3 linked regions of the Oryzias latipes genome follow. The protein of the gene in region 3 purifies or fractionates together with the protein of the main gene of each other region. This does not show direct contact. Links are inferred from orthologs where the notes say so. Each region holds a gene or a part of one and is shown on either strand. Other genes may lie near its edges.

Region 1 (3,755 bases), on a different chromosome or scaffold from region 3:
TGTGTGTGTGCGTCTGTGTGTGTGCGTCTGTGTGTGTGCGTCTGTGTGTGCGCGTCTGTGTGTGCGCGTCTGTGTGTGCGCGTCTGTGTGTGCGTCTGTGTGTGTGCGTCTGGGTGTGCGTCTGGGTGTGCGTCTGTGTGTGTGCGTCTGTGTGTGTGCGTCTGTGTGTGGGTCTGTGTGTGCGTCTATGTGTGCGTCTATGTGTGCGTCTGTGTGTGCGCGTCTGTGTGTGCGCGTCTGTGTGTGCGCGTCTGTGTGTGCGCGTCTGTGTGTGCGCGTCTGTGTGTGCGCGTCTGTATGTGCGTCTGTGTATGTGCGTCTGTGTGTGCGTCTGGGTGTGCGTCTGGGTGTGCGTCTCTGTGTGTGCATCTGTGTGTGTGCGTCTGTGTGTGCGCGTCTGTGTGTGCGTCTATGTGTGCGTCTGTGTGTGTGCGTCTGTGTGTGTGCGTCTGTGTGTGTGCGTCTGTGTGTGTGCGTCTGTGTGTGTGTGCGTCTGTGTGTGTGTGCGTCTGTGTGTGCGTCTGTGTGTGCGTCTGTGTGCGCGTCTGTGTGTGTGCGTCTGTGTGTGTGCGTCTGTGTGTCTGTGTGTGCGTCTGTGTGTGCGTCTGTGTGTGTGCGTCTCTGTGTGCGTCTCTGTGTGCGTCTCTGTGTGCGTCTCTGTGTGCGTCTCTGTGTGTGCGTCTCTGTGTGTGCGTCTCTGTGTGTGCGTCTCTGTGTGTGCGTCTGTGTGTGCGTCTGTGTGGGTGCGTCTCTGTGTGGGTGCGTCTGTGTGGGTGCGTCTCTGTGTGCGTCTGTGTGTGTGCGTCTGTGTGGGTGCGTCTGTGTGTGCGTCTGTGTGTGTGCGTCTGTGTGGGTGCGTCTGTGTGGGTGCGTCTGTGTGGGTGCGTCTCTGTGTGCGTCTCTGTGTGCGTCTCTGTGTGCGTCTCTGTGTGCGTCTCTGTGTGCGTCTGTGTGTGCGTCTGTGTGTGTGCGTCTGTGTGTGCGTCTGTGTGTGCGTCTCTTTGTGTGCGTCTCTTTGTGTGCGTCTGTGTGGGTGCGTCTGTGTGTGTGCGTCTGTGTGTGCGTCTGTGTGTGCGTCTGTGTGTGCGTCTCTGTGTGCGTCTCTGTGTGCGTCTCTGTGTGCGTCTCTGTGTGCGTCTCTGTGTGCGTCTGTGTGTGCGTCTGTGTGTGCGTCTGTGTGTGCGTCTGTGTGTGCGTCTCTTTGTGTGCGTCTGTGTGTGTGCGTCTGTGTGTGCGTCTCTTTGTGTGCGTCTGTGTGTGTGCGTCTGTGTGTGTGCGTCTGTGTGTGCGTCTCTTTGTGTGCGTCTGTGTGTGTGTGTCTATGTGTGTGTGCGTCTCTGTGTGTGTCTGTGTGTGTCTGTGTGTGCGTCTCTTCGTGTGCGTCTGTGTGTGCGTCTCTTTGTGTGTCTGTGTGTGTCTGTGTGTGCGTGTTCTCACCTGTAAGTGGGTCTCTTGCTCCACAGGGGCTTTACGCTCTGAGGACAAAGGGCAGGAGGTCACCTGGAGGTCCAGGAGGACTGGGGTTCTGGTTCCGAGGAGCCTCACCTTCTTGCTGAGCTCGGTCCAGCTCCAGGCGCTGACCTCGCCGTTTCCAGCACTCAGCAGGACGCCGTCCGCCGACAGAAGGCTGAAGACTGGACCCTCGTGAGCTGCAGGACGAGACCCAACGTTCAACTAGAACCTTCTGCCGGACCCGGACCACGATCACCGGAAGAACCTTCTCCTGGACCCGGTCCAGCCGGACGGACTCACCTGTGAATGTCAGGACCGGTTTGAGGCTGGCGGCACCGGCATCTGGGCTGAGAGCTGCTGACAAACTGGAGACGGAGACACAGCTGAGAGCGCCGCCGTGCGCGCCCGCCCGCCCGTGCACGGCGGCGCTCGTTTCGCTCACCTGAACAGGCCGATCTCCCCGTAGTTGTTCCCGGCCGCCAGGAAGCGTCCGCAGGGAGAGAAGCTCTGAGAGAAGACGGACATGTGGAGCAGCTGGGGGCGGAACCAGAGTCCGGTTAGAACATCCAGAACAGCAGCTACTCATCCAGAACTTTGGTTCTTTTCTCAGTCACATTGAATCGGAACCAGACCGTGGTCTGGTGAAGTGCGGTCCGGCCAGCCGTCACTGAGTTTTAGCGTAAAATGTTTACATCCTGGTTTCTGGTCCACAAAGACGGTAAAGCGCTAATATCAGCCGAGTTATTTGATGTACAAATGTATTCATTAGATTGCATGTCTGGTCATTCAGCTCGTTCTAAGGTGACTGTCGGTGGATTATTGTTGGTTATGATGTTCATGACCATCACAGCCATATGGAGCTTTATAAACATGTTATACTATGGACGAGGAAGCCTGAGTGGGACTCGAACCTGAATTTCTCTCCAGTTAATTAGCGCTTTACCGGGACGCGTGTACCGTGAAGCATGATGTAACACCCCCCCCCCCTCCCCCCCAGGGGATGTGTCATAAATAAAGCCTCCATTAATATCAGTTTGCTGCGTTTGGCTGAAGTCGCTGCGGTTTTTCTACCAAATGTTTTTACTGATGTTCTGTTCAGAATGAAGGTTCTGGATCAGGTATTGGACTTTGTGGTTCTGTGGCTCCGTATTCCTTTACGGTTTATTCGCCAGCGGAAACGGAACCTGAGCGGGGTTCGGATGATGAAGCCGTCTGTCTGAGTCTCCTCCTCCGTGGACGGACTTCAGGCTCGGTTCGATAAAAGTGACACCGGGATTCTGTGCGCGCGAACCGAGTCCGTGTTCGGGTAACTCACCTCGACCGGTCCCATCCTGCCGCCGACCTGGAACCCCCAGAACCGAACAACACTGAACTTCCAGACAATAAACCTAGCGGCGCACAAGGCGCGAAAACCTCTGGCTCGAGAATATGACGTCACAGGAACGCACGGCATGCTGGGAGTTGTAGTGGTGTGACAAAGATTTCTGACCTGATGGCTCAGCAGGAACAGTTGAGCTTTTTCTAATCAGCTGCTGTGTGCGTGTGTGTGTGTGTGAGTGTGTGTGTGGGTGGGTGTGTGCGTGAGTGTGGGTGTGCGTGAGTGTGTGTGCGTGAGTGTGTGTACTTAGAAGGATTTTATTGATTCAACAGCTGAACCTGCAACCTCTGACAGATCCATTTGATCCAGTTTCTTACCGACAAAACCGAGTCAGAGCCGCAAAATCTCAGTACTCCACAAACGGTTCTGCTGCAGCAGAAGATCAGAACCTGAGCTTTAAACTGTTTCAAATATTGGGATTGAAAGCATTGGTTAGGAAGTTCACACGGACTCCACAAAGTATGTCTGCTTTCTTTTATTTTTTTCTTCAACACCAACAAAGGCTACAAATACAAAAAAGCCTTTTTACCCGTCTCAAACCCTGACCCACTTCTCTGCACACATTAAGCGTCTCATAGAAAAGACATAAATGCTGCTGTGGAGAAGGTCCACAGGTTCCTGGGGGGGCACCTCACTAACCACCTGTCCTCCTCCACCAACTCCACATCAAAAAGCACAACACCACAAACACACAACAACACCACAGAAACACAACATCAACACTGCAAACACACAACACCAATACCACAAACCCACAACAACATCAACACAACAAACACACAACAACACCACAGAAACACAACATCAACACCACAAACACACAACAACATCAACACAACAAACACACAACAACATCAACACAACAAACACACAACAACACCACAGAAACACAACATCAACACCACAAATACACAACAACATCAAC
Region 2 (3,755 bases), on a different chromosome or scaffold from region 3:
GAGAAACTGAGAAAACTCCACCCAGCAGTTAACCTACAGTAAAACCATTCGATCAAAAAAAAAAAAAAAATTAAAACAAAAATAAAACACTTGGTAAAAAACACTTTGGAGTATTTAAAAGAAGAGGTTGGAACAATTTCAATCACATCAGAAGACAAGTGTAAAATATTCTGCACATCTGTAACAAGCACCCCTTTCTGTGCAGACAGGGAGGGATGACGTCAACTAGGATGGGAGGTTTCCTTAACTGGTATCCATCTGAGAAAACAAGAGGTGAAACAGAATTAGGACAGCTGCAAAACAACTTCAACAGAAGATGCTTTCTATTTTGACAGATGTACCCTGGCATTGTAAGCATCTAACTGGGCGTCAAGCTCTTCTGCCGATAGCGGTTGCTTGGGGGCACCGCCGCGCCCCCCCCGCCCTCTTCCTCTGGGACCACCTGCACCACGGACCCCTCGGCCTCTTTGCATCCCTCCGAAACCCCGATTTCTACTCATGCCTCCACCACCTCTGTTCATACTGGTAAAACAAAACAAATACACAAAGAAAATGTAATTGGGGTTTACACAACAGCCTGTTTCCAGTTTCCCAAGAATCCATGCTTACTTACCCCTGCATAGGCCGCCTCTGTGTGTCGATCTGTGATGTGACGAGCTGAATGTTCATAGGCCGCCCTAAACACAAATTAGGCTTTAATCTTGGGAAGATCAACTAATATTTAAATGTATTTATCTAATTAAATAAATCTGTAATAAAGTAGAAGAATACCATCAAGAGGAATGCCATTGTACTGTTTCATGGCTTTCAGGGCATCTGCCCTCCTTTCAAAGTGGACATCTGCCGTTCCAAGGCTTCTTCCTGATCTGTCGTAATGAACTGCAGCTTTCTTTAGAGTCCCAAATTCAGCAAAGAGTTCCTTCGATAAAAAAAAAAAAAGTCAAAACTAAGTCATCAATTAAAAAAAAAAAACATCACCATCAGATATGCTAGCTAAGTTGTACCTGGATGTCTGCGTCTGACACCCCAAAGTCCAGATTGGAGACGAGGAGCTTTCCTCCCGTTTCCACACCAGCTCCTCCGCCACCTCCAGCAGCCCCATTGAAGCCGCTGAAGCCGTTGTCAAACATGTCGTGCTGCCATTTATCGGGAAGCTGTTTGGGCTGCAACAGACGAAAGAGAACGCACCTGCTGACTTCAGGATCCCCTGCCTCTGTCTTTCACAGAGTCCACACGGCTGGGTGTTGGTGCAAGCAGGTGCTCCACTTCCAACACGGCCAGGGTGCTCAGCAGACCCCCCCATGATCCCTGCCCACCCCATCGTTACAATCACGTGAATCACTTCAGACAGAAATACACAAATTTAAAAATAGCTATTTTGGTGTTTTGATACAGAAAATTTCAATGTTTTACTACTTGTAAAGTAAGACAAAAAGCTGACAGATATTTAAACTAATCATTTTCATACATTAACTTTAAAAAATCTTTACATGAACCAAAAATCCGCCCCAAACTAGCTAGCATAACCCCGTCGTTTCTTGCCATCTGCTACTCCACCAACTGCTCTGTCTGTCGACATGCTCCTCAGGCACACGAGGGGGGGTCCCCGGCAGAAGCAGCCTCGCATCCCGCGTTGCGCCGCTTGTCCAGGCTCACAACAGTCCTTTGTCAGGCCACAATTCGACTTTCATGAAGAAATGTCTTTAGGATGTTACAGGTGAAGAACATTTTGGGGGGAAAGAAGCCGATAGCCCCCTTTTTAGTGCGTGGAGTACGCGGACGTCCATTTTGAAACCACGCCATTTTGATCGGGGCTTTGTTTGGGTTGCATTTATATTCATTCACACCCCAGGAGTGAAGATTGGGCTTCTTTTTACAAAAAAAAAAAAAAAAATAAAGGAAATTTGAGGGGATTAAGTATGAGTCCACGTATCCATCCATATGTGACATTTGGTGAAAAGCCTTTTGGGTGGGATTTTAAGAAACCCCGTCAGCCATTCCTGGGACAAAAGGCCGCCTTGAAGATGTAGCAGGACGTTGGAAGGAATGTGATTCCGTAGCAATGGAAAAAACGTGCAGGAACCTTCTCAGCGATGTAGGCATCCTTTTCTTTCCAGACCATTACGACACTTGGGGTAAAACATCATTTTGACGCCAAATTGTATTCGAGGTTGTTGGATTCAAAATGGCGCTGAGACCTTCACGATCCGGCAGGTTAGCCAATGTGGCTAACATAGTCGCTCCTCAAGCAGCTTCTTCTTGAAAAGTGGTGCGACACATATAGGTTGTGGGAGAAGGGACATATTATGCAAACAACCTCCATTTATGCTTATCCACAAACTATAGAGCTCTCCTCTAAGGGAAACTCAGCGGTAAGCAACCATTTTAATGGCTTGACTAGCTAGGTGATTAGCCGTCAAGCCAAATGGAGAAAAGAAGACGTAAACCAGGAATTTTCAGCTTTGACGAAGGTTTTTTTCCTTCCAATGCCCATTCGTCTAACTTTCTCATACCCTGCTATAAGGCGTTGGTCTGCCTCTAGCGCGGCTCAGGTTCTGTCGGGTCCTCATGGGGCCTGATCCTCCGCCTCGGCCTCCAAATCCGCCGCCGCCACCACCAAGACGCCCAAGGCCTCCTCCACGGGCACCGCCTGAGCCTCCGCGGCCTCGGCCTCTTCCCCCACGGGCTCCGCCTCTACTCTGCCTGTTCAGCTTGATAATGTCGTCTAGAGACATATCCATCTTATCCGCCATTATGCTGCCCCGATAACTCTAAAGCACTGTAAAGATTTAAATTGTCTTAAAACACCCTGGACTAAGCTGTTCCCTCTCTTCGTCCGTAGATTTACGCTCTCTGGTCCAAGTACTAAGCACAATGAAAAGCGCCCACAAGCTGTAGAAAAGCTGATTGGTTGGAGAACACGTACTCTTGACGTCATTACGTTAAAAACTACAACAACTCTTTACCGCCCTCTACTGGAAACTAAAACATTATTCCTAAAAAACGCCATACATGGGTGTGTTCAGTTCATAGTAACACTAAAAGAAGCAATCAAAGCATTAAATCAAACACTTTTAACTATATCTCTATAACGAAACTGAATAACATAAAAAAAAATACTTTTAGACTTTAAATTACATTGAAAACAAATAGGCTAAGGCACTTCTTTAAACAAACAAAAATGTGGTTTCATATTTCAAATGAAATTTGTATTGAATTGATTTTTTATTTAGATGTGACTATGACCTAAAGAAAACTTTCTTAGTTTGATCAAGAAACGTTATTATAATGAATGCTTAAATTGGACAACACCCTGAACTCTCAATATGCATATTATAAATACAAATTGGATCTCTTTTTGATGAGACACGTCAGCAAATCTGCTAAGAAGTTGAAATTAATTTGATCTCAAAAGATTAATTTTGCATAAAAAGATAGCAATTCAAAGTATTATTCAAAATTTTGCTCTTCTTCATACTACAATAAGGATTAAAAAAGCACCCTGCACGAGAATGCATGATTGTATTCTTCCTTCACATTCATTTGAAATATGTAAATAACAAATATAAATGCAACTCTATTGTTTTGATTTGAAGGTAGTAGTATTTTTAAGACCAACAACTTCTTCACCTAATTAGAAAACAAACAAAAAAGAAAGTTTCCCTCTTGTTCTTTTATTGAAACCTTTCCTACATTGATTGTTTCTGAGCTACATGGCTCTGTTTGTCTGTAAACTCTACCTCTGTTAATTGCAC
Region 3 (3,655 bases):
GCTCCGTCCAGGGCGCACAAGGTCAAGTGAGAGACGAGGGAAGAAGGCACTTTGCTGCTTTGCCCGCCGCACGCATTTCAAGTGTGTCCAAGGCTGGATTTTGTTGTTGGTTTAATCTCTCTAGGACCGAGTTTGAAGGCTTGCTGTCCCGCATTAACCAGAGAGGGTAAAAATAAAAACAAGAAGAAAAATCAGGGGACCTTTTTTATTTTTGCCTCGCTGAAAATAAGAGAAATATGATAAAGTTCTGGAGGCCCAAGCCAGTTGGCTCCCCATCCCACAGCGGGTCTCTGTCTGCCGAGCGAGTCGCGTTCGGTGTGAACGCAGCTCAACCGTAACCCTAAACGTAACCCTTCCTTTGTGTTCGTGCAGCCAAGAAAAACGTTCAGCACGTGTTTGGAAAATTCCGTGCGAATATTCCCTTTCTTTCTGGCATTTTCCATGTATTTGCTCTGCAAGTCAACAATCTGCAAGAATCAAATCAGTTGGGAGCCACGGCCTTCCTTAAAGTTCTTTTTGGTGTGTCATTTTACTAAACAGCAGGGTCTGGTGCACACATTTGTTTTGTCATTTCACACATTGTTTGAAAAGTGTTGATTTCCATTCAGAAATGTCACTTTTCACTGTTTCTTTATCACCAAACAGAAACTTTGGAGAATAGAGACTGTCAGTCAACGTCCTGATACGTGGCTGAGTCTTTCAGCATGACAACCATCCCAAACACACGTTGCCCGGGTAACGAAGGAGTGACTTCGTAAGAACCAATTCAAGGTCCTGGAGTGGCCTAGCCAGTCTCCAGATCTCAACCCCACAGAAAATCTTTGGAGGGAGTTGAAAGTCTGTTTAGCCCAGCGACAGCACCAAGACATCACTGCTCTAGAGGAGATCTGCATGGAGGAATGGACCAAAATACTTACAGAAAGCATTTGGCTGCCGTCATTGCAAACAAAGGTAAAATGTAGTATTGAGTTGAACTTTTTTACGCTATCGACCAAATACTTATTTTCCACCATAATTCACAAAACAATTCTTTAAAAATCAGACAATGTGATTTTCAAGATTTGTTTTTTACATTTCATCTTTCATAGTTGAGGTAAAATTATGATGCAAAATTAAAGACCTCTCTCATATCTTTAAGTGTCACAATTAGCATCTGACTAAATTCTTTTTTATCCCACTATACAAGTCACACTTTTGGGAGAAATGTATTCAAAGAAATATAGGAACTAGAACGGACATTTCATCTTGAAAGGCAAATTCTAATAAAGGAATAAACAACAATAGACTGAATATATACCATACACACTTCACTACCGTAAAACAGTTTGAGCCAAACCTTCAGCCACTCTTTTCCCAAACTCAGGAATTCTCTCCCTCCTGCCCTCCGTAACATCGACTCATCTGTTTAAATCTGCCTTTTCTCTTTGGCATTGTGCTGGTAGCTATTGTGCACTTATTTTTTACATTAGCGCAACAGATGAACAATTTTTCAGATGACCATTGCATAAAGAACATAGTCACAAGTCAGCTAAGCTCTATACATCGCTTCAAATCACTAAATCCATTGAATCCTTCTTCCTCTGTGTCACTTTAGAAGCCCTTTTCCAAGCCTGGCATGCAGCTCTGTTCAAGTCACCACTTCCAATGAGAAGTCTATGGAAACGCACGATTCCAGCTTCTGCCTTCCAAACTCCTGTGTTCACGCGTAGCTACACACATTTTTACAACTGTTTCCGGGCTTTACCTACAAAACGATTGAACACGTGTTTAGAGTTAAATCAGGTAATTCCTGTAGGGAAATTCAGTTGTAGTAGAAGCACAATAAAATCAATACGAAATACACAGGGAAGAAAAACTCTTATATAAATGACAGGAGTTATATTCCAGCACTCACTCTCTCTCTTTTCTCAAACATCAGAAAATGCTCTAAGAACATGTTAAAAACACCATTTTCCCTGTTGTGGGTCTTTAAAAACATCTTAACTTGTCTGCAAGTCTCACCAGGAGTTGCTGAGGATGCCCTTCATGCCTCCATAGTTGGGGTTTCCGTACTTCATGTAGTATCTGCTGCGCCGCGCTGCCCCCGGCTCCTTCTTATCATCTGGAACCAAAACGACACGACATGAACACCACACTACAGTGTTTCCAGTTGTTATGCAATTTATATTGAAGCGATAAAAAGATGAAATTATTTGTTTTTCATGGATGATATTGTTTTACTGACTTCAGTCTCAGACATTGCGAAGATTCATTTAAAAGGTGAGTTTAGTTAAAGGAAAAACTAAAGAAGGACGTTCCAAATTATTAAGCAGACCAACTTTTTCAAGCAATATGGGAAAGAAAAAAAGGATCTTTCTGCTGCTGAACCGTGAAATAGTGAAATGCCTTGAAGAAGGTATAAAAACCTTAGATATTTCACAATGATTTAGGTGTGATCATTGTACTATTAAGAAATCTGTGGTTGATTCAGAACAGAGACGGGTTGCTGCAGATAAAGGCAGAATGAGGAAGATTTCTGCCAGACAAATACATGGGATTAAGAGAGCCGCTGCTGAAATACCATGACAAAGCTGCAAGCACATATTTGAAACTGCTGGTGTCTCTGGGGACCCACCAACATCAAGGTGTAGGACACTCCAGAGGCTTGTAGTTCTAAGTAAACCTTCTATTCGCCAAACAACACTGACAACCAGAAACGGCTGCAGTGGGCCCAGACATAATGAAGACTCATTTTCAAACAGTCTTGTTCACTAATGAATGCCGTGTAACCCTGGATGGTCCAGATGGATGGAGTAGTGGGTGGATGGTAGATGGCCACCATGTCCCAACAAGGCTGTGACGTCAGCAAGGAGGTGGGGAGTCATGGTTTGGGCTGGAATCATAGGGAGAGAGCTGGTCGGCCCTTTTAGGGTCCCTGAAGTAGGTGGAATTTCTGACTGACCACGTTCTTCCATGGTACAAAAAGAAGAACCGTGCTTTCCGTAACAAAATCCTCTTCATGCATGACAATGCACCATCCCATGCTGCAAGGAAAACCTCTGCATCGTTGGCTGCTATGGACAGAAAAGGAGATAAACTGATGGTTTGGCCCCCATCCTCCCCTGGCCTCAACCCTATTCAGAACTTTTGGAGAATTCCTCAAGTAAAATATCTCTGAGGGTTGGAGGCAGTTCAAATCCAAACAGCAGCTCTGGGAGGATATTCTGACATCAAAGAAATTCAAGCAGAAACTCTCCAAAAAGTTCAATAGATGCAACAATTGTGAAGCTACTACAAGATAAGGGGTCCTGTGTTCAAATGGAACTTGACCTATGAAGATGTTTTTGATTGGAATAGCTTTACATTTCAGTAAATACGAACATGTAGCAAACTACCATTTTCAGTTCTTTAGAATCTATCAAATGTTGTGGAACTCGGTTGTGTGTAATAATGTGGAACAGTGACTTTGAGGGTTTTATCTTTAGGTTGTGTTCAGTAACATTTACCGTTATTTATACTCTAACGCTTACTGACTTGAACATTCTGCTGACTGACGTTTGCGTTGACAATTACAGAGAAATCACAGAAAAATGTCATTGGTGTAATTTGGAACGTGCTGCAAAAGTGGGTTTTGTGGTTTCAGGTGGGCTTCAGGGTTTGAGAGTCGCCGTCCTGG

The links.
Region 1: the proteins of ncbp3 (region 3) and thoc6 purify together in Homo sapiens (co-immunoprecipitation; 3 studies listed by BioGRID and IntAct, with this or other methods). This does not show direct contact. The link is inferred for Oryzias latipes from reciprocal best matches to the Homo sapiens genes NCBP3 and THOC6.
Region 2: the proteins of ncbp3 (region 3) and THO complex subunit 4 purify together in Homo sapiens (affinity purification with mass spectrometry; 4 studies listed by BioGRID and IntAct, with this or other methods). This does not show direct contact. The link is inferred for Oryzias latipes from reciprocal best matches to the Homo sapiens genes NCBP3 and ALYREF.

Annotation. Positions count from the first base shown.
Region 1 is NC_019866.2:289,524-293,278, forward strand, and holds the start of thoc6 (THO complex subunit 6 homolog), read right to left. Parts: upstream 2,921-3,755; 5' UTR 2,906-2,920; coding exon 2,768-2,905; intron 1,987-2,767; coding exon 1,895-1,986; intron 1,818-1,894; coding exon 1,753-1,817; intron 1,650-1,752; coding exon 1,546-1,649; intron 1,476-1,545; coding exon 1,438-1,475; intron 1-1,437. UniProt on the Homo sapiens protein: Component of the THO subcomplex of the TREX complex which is thought to couple mRNA transcription, processing and nuclear export, and which specifically associates with spliced mRNA and not with unspliced pre-mRNA.
Region 2 is NC_019866.2:15,369,737-15,373,491, forward strand, and holds the start of THO complex subunit 4, read right to left. Parts: upstream 2,901-3,755; 5' UTR 2,754-2,900; coding exon 2,514-2,753; intron 1,164-2,513; coding exon 1,005-1,163; intron 920-1,004; coding exon 772-919; intron 678-771; coding exon 614-677; intron 523-613; coding exon 342-522; intron 259-341; coding exon 244-258; 3' UTR 1-243. UniProt on the Homo sapiens protein: Functions as an mRNA export adapter; component of the transcription/export (TREX) complex which is thought to couple mRNA transcription, processing and nuclear export, and specifically associates with spliced mRNA and not with unspliced pre-mRNA.
Region 3 is NC_019872.2:24,111,342-24,114,996, reverse strand, and holds part of ncbp3 (nuclear cap-binding protein subunit 3), read right to left. Parts: intron 2,102-3,655; coding exon 2,002-2,101; intron 1-2,001. UniProt on the Homo sapiens protein: Associates with NCBP1/CBP80 to form an alternative cap-binding complex (CBC) which plays a key role in mRNA export. NCBP3 serves as adapter protein linking the capped RNAs (m7GpppG-capped RNA) to NCBP1/CBP80.